Rattus norvegicus: one gene and its partners. Each later gene encodes a partner of the first gene's protein in a complex. Links are inferred from orthologs where the notes say so. Each region holds a gene or a part of one and is shown on either strand. Other genes may lie near its edges.

Evidence for each region.
Region 2: the proteins of Rpa1 (region 1) and Helb are in contact, whole or in part, in a crystal structure (PDB 7XV1), measured with the Homo sapiens proteins. The link is inferred for Rattus norvegicus from reciprocal best matches to the Homo sapiens genes RPA1 and HELB. Residues at the interface, in NP_002936.1 of Homo sapiens: Asn29, Ile30, Arg31, Ile33, Arg41, Arg43, Leu44, Leu45, Ser54, Ser55, Met57, Ala59, Thr60, Gln61, Arg81, Ile83, Asn85, Leu87, Arg91, Val93, Ile95, Met97, Glu120; in NP_001357214.1 of Homo sapiens: Glu496, Glu499, Val500, Lys502, Ala503, Cys504, Asp506, Phe507, Glu508, Asp510, Asn512, Ala513, Glu516, Trp517, Thr519.
Region 3: the proteins of Rpa1 (region 1) and Rad9a are in contact, whole or in part, in a crystal structure (PDB 8JZY), measured with the Homo sapiens proteins. The link is inferred for Rattus norvegicus from reciprocal best matches to the Homo sapiens genes RPA1 and RAD9A. Residues at the interface, in NP_002936.1 of Homo sapiens: Asn29, Arg31, Ile33, Arg41, Arg43, Leu44, Leu45, Ser54, Ser55, Phe56, Met57, Asn85, Leu87, Lys88, Asp89, Arg91, Val93; in NP_004575.1 of Homo sapiens: Asp297, Phe298, Ala299, Asn300, Asp301, Asp302, Ile303, Asp304, Tyr306, Met307, Ile308, Met310.

The regions. Positions count from the first base shown.
Region 1 is NC_086028.1:60,656,622-60,660,709, forward strand, and holds part of Rpa1 (replication protein A 70 kDa DNA-binding subunit), read right to left. Parts: intron 3,747-4,088; coding exon 3,678-3,746; intron 3,554-3,677; coding exon 3,361-3,553; intron 3,217-3,360; coding exon 3,077-3,216; intron 2,763-3,076; coding exon 2,614-2,762; intron 628-2,613; coding exon 495-627; intron 1-494. UniProt on the Homo sapiens protein: As part of the heterotrimeric replication protein A complex (RPA/RP-A), binds and stabilizes single-stranded DNA intermediates that form during DNA replication or upon DNA stress.
Region 2 is NC_086025.1:57,483,878-57,487,965, forward strand, and holds part of Helb (DNA helicase B), read right to left. Parts: intron 3,989-4,088; coding exon 3,834-3,988; intron 944-3,833; coding exon 853-943; intron 176-852; coding exon 116-175; intron 1-115.
Region 3 is NC_086019.1:210,922,382-210,926,569, forward strand, and holds the start of Rad9a (RAD9 checkpoint clamp component A), read right to left. Parts: upstream 2,781-4,188; 5' UTR 2,694-2,780; coding exon 2,660-2,693; intron 2,578-2,659; coding exon 2,507-2,577; intron 2,072-2,506; coding exon 1,943-2,071; intron 1,672-1,942; coding exon of another isoform or gene 1,580-1,671; coding exon 1,465-1,579; intron 1,384-1,464; coding exon 1,284-1,383; intron 1-1,283. UniProt on the Homo sapiens protein: Component of the 9-1-1 cell-cycle checkpoint response complex that plays a major role in DNA repair. The 9-1-1 complex is recruited to DNA lesion upon damage by the RAD17-replication factor C (RFC) clamp loader complex.

The DNA of each region.
Region 1 (4,088 bases):
TGTACACTATGGCAATAACGGGGCAGCAGCAAGCGGTATTCAGAGTACAATAGAAATAAATGATTCAAACATCCAAGAGAACGCAGGTTAGACCAGGTAGGAAGAGGATCACTAAGAACACATTTAAATGGAAGCTGCAACGGAAATGGAATACCAGAGCCAGCCCATGGCAGGGCGGCAGCATGAGAACGGTCTGTTCAAAATCCAACATGGACCTGAGGCCGGCACACACTATCCTGCAAAGCCTGGTTATCACCACCTCCTCAGTATCCAAGAGCTCTCCACACCAGTCCTGCCTCACACCAGCGGCTACAATACATCCCCCGGCACGCATGGTCTCTACACCGGCCATGACTGAAGAGCAGTAACATGGTGCTCTGGAGCGGGCCTCTGGGGTCCCAGTAAGAGCACAGCCCTGAACCAGCACCAGACAACGGGTATAAAGCTCAGCCCTGGCGTTTTCTAGGCCTCTGTGGAGTAAGGGTGTGAGGTACCTTGTCGCCCTGGCCCAGGTTCTCGGATTTAGCTTCATACAAAGTTTTCCAGTTGGTGTTGCTCCCTCCGGTCCCTCCACTCCTGAGATCAGAGATGGAAACTCCATCTAAGGCTTGTCCTTCTGAGTCAAACCTAGGGAGAAAAAAGATATTGCTGATAGGAACTTTACATCCTTCTCAAATGTGTTGTTTGAATACACCAGCTACAAGCTCTGTCCCTCAGCTCTCACCTGGGTCCCAGCACACCCAGTCCACTAAAGAAACGAAATGCCAAAGTACCACAGACCCCTGCTCCAAACTGACAGCCATGAACAAAGTCGGCAACAGCAGGCAACACTGGCAGTCCCCCAGACTTCGAGCCTTCACCCCAATCACCAAAATGCATCAGATGAAAAGGGACATTTTTGTTTAATGAGTCTGCCAAAAATGTTTTCATGGGAGAAAATCTTTTAAGCCTAATCAGTTATAGAATTCAATGTACTTCATCAGAAGGCATTATCTGCTGTGTTAGAGATCTGCATTCTCAGCGAGGATTTGTTTATGGAAATATCAAGGTTAAATTCATTTATATGAAATTATTATTAAAATTGATTATACTTCTTGACCATCTATTGGCTAATCTGAAGGAAACGAGGCCAGGGAGAAGGTAGCAAGGACAGGGTAGTGGCAGAGAACAGTGTGCCTGAGATTAAAGACGCCATCAACTATATGAGTGGTAGGTAATTAAAGCTCCCCCCACAGGACTGACTCCCTAAAAAGAGACTACCCAACAGAGTGGCTGCTGCCCTAGGCCACAATCACCTTCTCATTCTGTCAGGTAAGCAGCCACATCCACCAGAGGACAAGGTCCATAAATCTGTTTCACCACAACTAGCCACACAAGTTTAAGGCTTCAAAAACTTCACACAGGCATTTGCCACCAAAGACAGCTCATAAGGAGTCAACAGAGCCAGGAGACAGGCAGCCGCTCTTACAGTAAAAATCCGCTCTGTCAGTGCCAGGATCTAAACATCTCCAATCCTTGTCTGGGTGGGGTGTGTGCACTGAACTCGTAGATCAATGACGGTATTCTGTTCAGGGGACAGACATGCCTGTTTGTGTTTTCTGTGATCACAGTTACTGACAGTGAAATATTAACTCCTTAATGCGGGCACACAATTAACCTGGAGTTGTGCTCAGAGCCTGGGAGGGAAACCAACCAACGAACTAGACCAATACCATGGTTGTCTCTGGTCATCCTAGGGAATTGTCATACGATGCAATGCTAGCTATCAGCAGTTACACAGACGGACCGACACCACTGAGCATGACATGTGACAGACACCCCAGACGCTCTAAGTATTAATTATTGTTATTGGTTTATATCAGACTCAAAACAAAAACGAGGAGTATGAAATATGAGCTCTTTTTCTCGAGTCCCCTAAACTCTAAGGCACAGCTGGAAACCATACATGTCCACCCTGTGACTACAGCTATTCAGTTTCCTTAAGCTCGGGTTAGGTAAATTACTTTCACCACCTCGATCCTCCCACACGACACTCTGAGGATGGAGTGCTCTTCCAAGGCAGAGTTTAATGCCTTAAAAAGCTCGGTATGGTGTGGAGATTCTAACAAGCTCTCCTCATCCCTTGAGTGCCTTGGGACTAACAATGTAAAGGCAACAAAGAGCCCATTGTTCTCACTGTGCAACAGCCGAGTCAGTGACTGCACAACAGAAGATGTGACCAGCTCCAGAGCCTCACCAGAGTAAGACGGTACATTCTACCCCCACATCAGCTGCCCACAGCGCAAACCGGAGATGCTCTCAGCACTGCTCTCCAGCACGCAGCTGTTAAAACCTTGTCTACCTGGTGGGATCAAGGTCAGCACGCAGCACTTAAGTTCTAATTGCTTTCTCTGACTCTCTAGGTTCATCAGGGGATCGTGGGCTTGTCGGTGTAAGAGGGCTTTCAGGCCACCATCTCCGAAGACATAATGCCTCCAAGAAATATAGGAACCACTTCACTCAATAGCAAAGGCTTGGCAAAAATAGCTTGGCAGAAGCCCACATGCTGACACTATCTAGCTCTCACCAAAGCCTGAACACAAATAACCCCTTAGCTGAGTTCCAAAAACCTACCATCCACGGAGCTTATAGGCCTCTGGGATGTCAGGATTCACAAGGACAGTGCTAGATGATAGGACAGAGAGGCTCCGCCCACCAAAGTCGGACACTCGGGCTCCTTTGATGGCCATCACAGGCTGCCTAGAACCGTCAAACTTGTCAGCCTGCAAAGCAAACACAAACATCATCGGCAAGAACAATGTACCGGATGGTTTTATGGAGAACAGTCAACGAATACAGGGTGAATACAGACAGACTCAGACTCAAGAATCTGCTTAGACTTTGAGGGAAGCTAATCTGTCTCTATATTCCTGAGTGAGCCAGAGTAAGGAGCACTGCACTATGGGAAGCTGCAATCATCTCATACAAGTGGAGGACTTCAAATGCTTGCTGGACAGCACTACTCTCTGAGCTAAAGTCCCACAGCTCAGGAAGACGAGAACCCCACCCCAGGGTTCTGCTCAGTGCAAGGACTCACGTCTTCTCCCCACAGCGTCGCAGTCACCACTTTCCCTGACATGTCCATCAAACAGATATTTCTCTTAGCAACTTCTCTGTTGTTAGACTTCACTGTGATTTTAGTCGCATCTTCATAGCTCTTGCAGATTCCAATTATGTCTGAAACAAAGAACACTTTGTAACAGCTCTCATCAAGGATCCTCTTAAAACATGGCCAAGGGATGAAAGGCAAGCACGCTAGTTGCGATCACCCCAAACACTGGAGACAAAATCACCTCTCTCTACCCTCACCCCTGGACGCACCTACAAGTGAGTCTTTAGACTTGCTCTCTAGGTCACCGATCCCTGTGAAGTCAAACTGAACTGTGGGTAAGTGATGGCCATCTTCGCAGGGAAGGACAGACGTCTCATTATTGAAGGTCATCTCATAGTCATTTTTAACAGCTGAGAACTGTTTGTTAGCGATTTTCAGAGTGCCCTTGGAGAAGTAATACACCTGCAAGAGAGGCCAAGTCAGGGACGCTAGTCAGCCATCAAACCCGTCCCCACGATGCAGCTTTCCGACTGTGCTCATGGCCCTCACTGTTCAGCTTGTCAGCTCAGACTCCACACTGTCTTACCTTGTTCACTTCAATAAGGGGAAAGAACTTGTCCACCTGCTCATTGAAAGCCGTAGCTCTGATTTCACCCTGCAAAAGCAAGGGAGAGCACATCACAACTGCATTGCTTGGCCCTCGCTCTGAACAGCGAGAGCAGGCCATTTTGACAATTAGCATCTTTGGAGCAACAGCCCAAGTATCAAGAGACCCTCCCAGGGCTGCACACATCCCAGAAACCCACACGCAGTTAACACTTTGAAGCCATCAGCTCTGGTAAAACAAGAGAGGCTCAGCTACTTCAGATACCTGATATATATATATATATATATATATATATATATGTATGTATGTATGTATGTATGTATGTATGTATGTATGTATGTATCTCCATCCATCCCTATGGTTACGACTTAACCATCCATGTTAAAACAT
Region 2 (4,088 bases), on another chromosome or scaffold:
GGAACGTGTATGACTTTTGAATGTGCGGCCCTATGTGACAAATACACATATAAACAAGAGAACAGCAAATAAAGGCACGACCGTCCCCTACAGGATCAGTCTGGAAAATGCTCACTTGATGAGGTGGTCTGTGTAGTGCTTGGAGCAGCAGTCATTGATGAGGTCACAGTCTTGCCTGAAACACACGAAAATCAGAGTCACGTCAACACCACACACTGTACACCGGCTTATGTTTACAGACAATCATATACTGGGCAGTGGATTGTTTAACTTGTTGTTGTGATACTGAGAATTGAACTGAGGGCTCTGTGCTTCCTAGACAAGCATGCTAGCACTCACACCCCTGCTGACAGAGCAGATCCCATAAGGAGTTTCTAGAACTTTCTCTAGGAAAAAGTATTTTTTGTTGTTACTATTTCTTTCTTTTTTTTTTTTTTTTTTTTTTGTTTTTGTTTTATCAAAGCAGAGTCTCTCTGTGTAGTCCTGGTCATCCTGGAACTCGCTCTGCAGACCAGGCTGGCCTGGAACTCAGAGATCCGCCTCCCTCTGCCTCCCAAGTACAAGGGTTGAAGGTGGGGACCACCTCGCCCAGCTGGAGAAAAACTATTTTATAATTTTTAACCTTCAAATAAAATTTCGTTTCACTGGCACTTCCAATGAAAATATAAGCATACTTGACAGAAAGCAGCCCCGTTCAGAATACCTTCTGATGTGTCTAATAAAAAGATACTTTGAGGAATGAGAAGAAATAATGAGAAATTACATGCATCTCCCCCTAAATACAATGTACATTAATAACTTACGAAGTTTAAGAGTTGGACAAAGTACATTAACACATTATAAACATTTTACCTTCTAAATGCAATAAATTGCGATGTTTTTGCACTTTCAGGACTGCAGAAGTCCTTCCCTTGAAGCAAAGTTTTAACTGCAGAATATAAATCTGGCAAAGAGAAAAAGGTTAACAGAAAAATTGCCAAATTATAATGCTATTTCTATGGGGAAATTGGCTAGCAATTCCTACTAAGCAGTAGGTAAAACACCTCACCACGTGCAATACAAGGTCACCACGGGAACGCCTACGTCATCCCTGACATGCGCCATAACAGTGGCAAGACCATGGAGACCAGGTTTCAGCCCCTGAGGTACTGGTTGTAGTCCGTCAGAGTTGGAAATCCATCAGCACATACTCATGAAGTATTATCATATGGGGAGCTGGTGCACACCAGATTGCAATACTGAGATACTGCCGCACTGGCTCAAAAGTGCCCAGTGGCCTAACAGCACAGTGCCTCACTCACCTCAGCTTTCTCTTTCCTCCCCTGACCCAACCTCCCACAATTCAGCCACTAACAAAATACCATCATGACAGGCATATACCATTATGTCCAGCTCACTACCCCAGGTTTGGTTGGTTTTCATAGTTGTTGTTTTATAGATAGGGTCTAGCCTGGTCTATATGAGAGAGGCTAGGGGATAGGAGTTCAAGGTCAGCCTCAGCTATACAGCAAATTCAATGGCAGCCCAGGCAACATGAGGTCCTGTCTCAAGACAAAAGGCGGAGGGAGATAGGAACACTGCAGGGTTTTGTGTATCATCTAGGAGCCGGTGAACTATGGAGTACTGTGGTGCTCTGTTCTAGAAAGACAGAGTCAGCTGATCACAGTCACTTCATTTCTTCAATGAAGACACTCTCCAGAAAATAGCTGACCTCAGGTCTCTGAACCCAGTCAACCAGAGCAGAAGTTTCCAGAGGTCTCCCACTCTCCACCTCCTCTTCCTCTCTGTCTCACAGGTCCAAGGCACTGGGCATTTTATTCTACAGTAACGTTTTAGCATCTCTGAAACTCTGGCCATTATGGGTCCTATCTTGGGTCCCTGCACTTTGTAACAATGGATAAAATTTACTACACCATTTATTAATAAAAAAGTGCTATTTGCCTCTGTCAGGACTAGTTACCCGATTTTCCTAAGGAAGAAGCTGATTTTCCCACAAATTTTTTAATTAAAACAGAGAATCAGCTAAGCGCCACTCACACTCTGAAACAGACAACTTGTTTTTCTTTTGAAAGTACATTTTAATGAGCTGGTCGTGACAGCACCAGCTACCCCATGGACTAGGGAGGGGGAGACAGAAGAATTAGGAGTTCAAAGTCAGCTTGAGAAGACCCTGGCTCACTCAAACAAAAGGCACAATCTCTTTAATATACAGAACGGGTCCCAAGATAAACAATGCTTGAGGTATACTGTAGAGAGTCGCAAAGAGAGCGAGCTACGAAGAGTCTGTATCTGCTTTTCTCATAAACATCAGCTGTCATATGTAGTTCAAACCAGCTCACGAGATATGCATCTTCTTATCCAATTTATAGAAAGCTAAAAGGAACGATGAGGTCAGGCATGCGCACAGTCGAAGACAGACTTGGGTGGTTTGGAAGCTTCGTGCCATGCATGGTAAGGAACTATGGGACAACTACAATAGATCCTCAGAAGATTGGCAACTAAATAATGATAGTAATAATGATGATAATAATAATAATAATAATAAATCCTCAGAAGAATCATTTAAATCATTACTAATCATTACCAAACCCTTAAACTATGCTTCAAGCTTGCTAAGTCAGTTTTAAAATCTAAATCAAGACCAAAAGAACCCCTCTACTGTTCTGTTTCCTTCTCTATTGCTGTAATAAAACACCAGAAGCAATGTAGGCGGATGTATCTGGCTTATAGGACATATTCCATCACTGAAGGAAGTCAGAGTCAGAATCCAAGAAGGATCTTGAAGCAGGCACCATGAAGCAATCCTGCCTGCTGGCTCAGTTGGTTCTTGCTTAGCTAGCTTTCTTATACAGCCCAAGAATAGCTACATTGGGATTGTGCCGCCCGCAGTGGCTACAGTGGGCTGGGCCCTCCCACATCAGTGAGTCGTCAAGACAAACCCCTGACAGACACGCCCACCTGCCAACTGATCTGGGTGATGCCTCAATTGAAAAGTCCCTTCTCAGAGACTCTAGGCTGTGTCAACCAAGACAATTATACTCAAATATAACTATTTTTAATAACCAATTTAATGATATTTATTAGTACTTACACAGTGGTTCTTAACATGGATGCCCCTCCCCTAGCTCCACAGGCACCAAAATCCTGACTCTTATTTCACACGTGGTGAAGCGCTTAAGAGACCTGTCCCATGCCCCTTCTCAACCCTGGCGGGCTAACATTGTGATACCCCAAATTACATGTGGTGTTAACAGTAACCACAGTGTCACCAATGTCCTCGAAGAAAAGAACAGGGATTTTCATTAAATAAAACTCAACTTTCTCCTGAAGAGACTTGGATTGCTCTGTAAACAAAATCCTCTCTGGCCACTTACCGACTCTTCGAGTATTTAATGAGAGTCCTTACACTGTCTCAAGAACTTCCTCACGAACTACTAGGACAGTGGTTCTCAACCTGTGGGTCACAATCCCTTCGAGGAGGTCAAACAACCCTTTCATAGGGGTCTTGGGAGGCCACAGAAAACAGTCATTTACATTACAATTCGCAACAGTAGTAAGATTACAATTACAGTTATGAAGTAGCAACGGAAATGATTTTATGGTTGGGGTCACCACAACATGAGGAACTGAACTAACGGGTCGCAGTGTTAGGGAGGTTGAAAACGACTGCTCTAGAGTAACCTGCTTTTGAGGATTCTCCAGTTGTTTTATTTCTAGTACTCCATCTTTCACGGGCAAGACCTACCTTTAGCCTCGAACAATACACAGCTAGTCGTTTGATAGCAATATTACAAAACCGAAATACTTCCATGCAAGCCAACATAAACACCTACCAGCTTGGTGTTTGCCTTTAGACGACTGAGAACTGCTGTCCTCTTCAGGGAGTCTCACGAAAATGAATGTCTTATCTTGAATGGAGTTGGGTAATGTGGAATTATCAGAGATGTTTATTTCTGCATCAAATTCTGGAAACTGACGTCTGGAGATTCTTAAGGAAAAAAAACATATGTGCAAGGCACGTGTAAATAGTTGGGGTGTATGTGCACATGTGCATACACGCAGGTGGTTGTGGAGACTAGAAGTCAACT
Region 3 (4,188 bases), on another chromosome or scaffold:
TAATGGGATCTGATGCCCTCTTCTAATGTGTCTGAAGATAGGGACAGTATACTCATACATTAAATAAATAAATCTTAAAAAAAAAAAAAAAAGAGGGACACTACCAGAAGAGTGAGAGGTCAGAGGGCTTTGAAACTGTGACACAGGGTCAAGGACAGGCTGTCAGGGTTATTCAGGTCATACAAGAGATCTGCAGGGGGCTGGAGAGATGGCTCAGAGGTTAAGAGCACTGTCTGCTCTTCCGGAGGTCCTGAGATCAATTCCCAGCAACCACATGGTGGCTCACAACCATCTACAATCAGGTCTGGTGCCCTCTTCTGGCCTGCAGGCATACATGCAGGCAGAAAGCTGTGTGATGTATACATAATAAATGTTTAAAAAAAAAAAAAGAGATCTGCAGGCAGGTCATAGGTTCTCTCTAGACAAGCAGAGCAGGCCTCTGGGATACACAAGGCAGGACCCACAGTCAGTGGGAATGGCGAGAGACAGCAGCTTCTGTTCTTGAAGAGCAAGGTAAGCGATGTGTGGCCTTGACACAGAAACCCCGAGTTTCCGCCTTAGAGGCAAAGGTGCTTTTGTGTTGTGTGAACGTGCATGGGCAGAGGGCAGAAGACATGCTCAGTGCTGCTGCTTCTCAGGTGCTGCCCATCTTGGTGTTTGGTTTGGTTCCTTTTTTTAAAGACAGGGTTTCTCTCTGTAGCCCTGCTTGCCTGCCTGCCTGCCTGCAACTTGCTTTGTAGACCAGGCTGTCCTCACAGAAAACCACTGCCTTGCTAAGTGCTGGGATTAAAGGCGTGCACCGCCGGCCAACTGACATTACACATTCTTATCTAAGCGAGGACTCGGAACAGGCACCCATGCTTGTACATCACACATTTACTGAGTTATCTCCCCAGCATATGCACCCTTTTTTGAGACTGTCTCATAATACCTAGGCTAGCCTAGAAACTCACTGGCCTTGAAACTTCTGACCTTCCCACCTCCATCCAGAGGTGGGAAGCCCCACCTTGCTGCCACAAGGCGCTCTAGGAAGAGTTAAGTGCCCTCTGTATACACATGCAGCCTCAGAAGACAGGGCCCAAGCTGATGTCCCAACAACTCAAGAGGAAATAAACTGAGCCGAAATACCTGTCCACCATCACCCTGTAAGGCCGAGTGAACGCCAAGCCTAGGTTCCCCACTCGCCATCCTCATCTCATTCTGAGAGTGAGATATCCTAGAATAACACTTAAGGCCCCAAAGGTGGGAGAGACTCAGGTGAAGTCCGAAGCAGGCATGCTCACCGTGCTGGGGTGCGGAGTAAGTGGGGGCATGAGGCTGGGTCGAAGACAGCCTGCAGGGATTCACAGTCCTGGAAGGAGAGGTTGTGTGTCTTCTTGACCCCTGGATAGGGGAAATGGTCTCAGTGGGCTTGACAGCCTTCACTCCACTCCCCCACTCTTAGCTGGCCAGCTGCCTGCTCACCATATTTGCAGTGAAGCTGGACCACCAGGTGGCTGTTGCTGCCACTGAGGGAGATGCAGCACTTCTCCACAGTCTTCTCCACCGTTGCCAGAGAGCGGAAGACGGACAGGAAGGACTGGGCAGGGTAGGACATCGGCCTGGCACTCTGCTTCCATGGACCAGCTCTACATCCCATGTAGGCCCTGGTCCATCACTGGCCCAACAAAGCTGTGAAAGGGGGCTCCCACTGCATGCAGGATGTCTGCACATTACCAGGCTTGTCCATGCTGTTCTCTTTGCTGGGAAGGGCTGCTAAACTTTTCTTGACCAACCTGAATGTCACCACCCTCTCCAGTGCTCTTATAACCCTCTAGAGTCTAAACATCTCGACCTCACTGCATTTTGCATGGACTAGCTCCCATATGAGACTAACTCCCTAGTCATCATTTACTGAGTACCTGACACAGGCACAGCTGTGGATGCTTCAGGTGGTCCTTACCTTCATCAGGATCTTACAGCGCAGCAGATCCTGACCAGGGGAAGCTTCCTGGTATTGCTGGAAGAAGAGGGGGGCAAAGAGGAAGCAGGCATAGGCAGAACGGGAAGAGTTCACAGTCCGTAGGGAGAGCTGAGGCACAAAAAGCAGGGAAGATAATAGTCAGGGGCCACGTCAGGCTCACTAAATGCCCTGCATTTCATCCAGCGGCAGTTCTCTTCCATCGCTTCCTAATGAAACTCCCCTTCCCTTTCTGTGTGGCAAGACCTTCTTGCATGTAGATCTCCCAGTCTTCCGCGGCTCAGGGTCTGCCATGCTTGTTTTTCCCTTAAGTTACTTTAGCCCCACCTTGCCTGCCACAAGGCGCTCTAGGAAGAGTTAAGTGCCCTCTGTATACACATGCAGCCTCAGAAGACAGGGCCCAAGCTGATGTCCCAACAACTCAAGAGGAAATAAACTGAGCCGAAATACCTGTCCACCATCACCCTGTAAGGCCGAGTGAACGCCAAGCCTAGGCTCCCCACTCGCCATTGAATCGGCCCCCATCCCTGCGTCCCAGTCTCTTACCCCGTCCTTCAAGGGTTCCAGATAGAGCTCGTCCCCGATTCGGGATAGCGAATGGACAGCCTTTCCCAGCACTACGGAAGGAGAGCAGAAAGTGGTTAGGGGGACTCCAGGGGCTTGCTCACATGGTCTGCTGCAAAGCAGGTCTAAACTTACCCTTCACGTTGCCCCCAGTGATCAGGCACTTCATGGTACATAAACACTGAGGCCGAGCTTGTTTTACAACCAGACCGGGACGGGATACAACCCACAACGAGTCCCAGCAGCTACTAGGAATGCCTAAAGTTCTCTTCCCGCGCACCGTCCCCTCCCCGCCGCCAGCCTGGCCTCCGCTTCCTTATTGGTCCACCCGGGGTTCCTCCGTCACGTGAGAAAAACGTTCCTAAGCTCGGCGCCACGTGATTCAGTCGTTTCCTTGGGTGTGGCCTGGGTCACGTGACTACGGAGGGAGCGCTCCTGCGTCCTTCATCGGGTCTGGCTTTCCCACCCTGCAGAGTTCTGCTGCTCCACCGGGCTCCCACATTAGATGCAGTTCCGAGGAGCAAGGTGCCTGCACCAAGGATCGAGTTCTGGACCAGAGTCCGAACATGGGAAGAGTAGACCCTCTGGAGTCACTAACTTTAGTGTGTGGGGTTACAGGGTCAAGGAAAGTTCGCGCTCAATCAGGGCCAGGGATGATTCTGTTGTGGCAGCAACCACCAGCTCCCCTCAAAAAAAAAAAAAAAAAAAAAAATTAACGTAACTTGCTTCAAGAACCATGAAAAGAGGCTGTTCATTCTGATTTCAGGATCCTTCACTGACCTTCATAAATACACGGAAAGATCAGAAGGTTCTGGGACAGAAAAGGGTAGAAGGATGGGTCTGTCAGAAGCAGAGGCACAATGGGGTAGGACCATATGGCTGGGTGGAGTGTCCCGAGCCTTGAGCCCGTCAGGGCTGAAGGGATGAACTGGGAAGTCGTGGAAAGGCTTAAGCACTACACGTAGTTTGTGTACACGTTACCAATTACCCAGACAGTGTCAAGGATGAGGGCTATCAGCTGGGATGCATTCAACTTTCTCTGGGTTTTAGTTACTTCAAGTGTGAAAAGAACAGCCTAGAGCAACACTTGCATTTCCCTGCTGTGTCCTGTGGGTTAACGGGAAGTCTGTATTAGTTATCTAACTCCTCTTTTTTAGGCTCCTCTCCCTCTCTAGCTTCTCCTTTCTTAAAGCCTCCGGGGAGGAGACTGCTTTCCCATTCCACATCCAAGGCAACCAGTGTGAGCAACATAGAGGCGTCCAGTTCACTGTTAGACTGGAGTTAGCTGTTAGCATCCTCTCCTCCTCATCTGATCAGTTCTTCAGTGGATTCTGATTACTTTGTTACCAAACAGACGGCAAAGTGGCCCTCCTTGTCTCCACTGTCCTCAGCGATCTGCCTCCACCAGCTTAACTCTCCAAAGTCTGGTCTCTTAATCTGGAACTTTCAGGATCCAGGTCCCACATGTCTTCACTGTATCCTACCTCTGATCACCTATCTCCAAAGTCCTGTCAGGCCCTTGGCTGTCACTCTGGCTGCTTCCAAGGCTGTGGCCTGCTTTTCCCATGCTGGCTTCTCTTCCTAGGCTCAACAGCAAAGATTCCCTCGGCACAGAACACTCCATGGTGCCTATCAGTTTTCCTGTGTTTAATACTTGTGCTCCC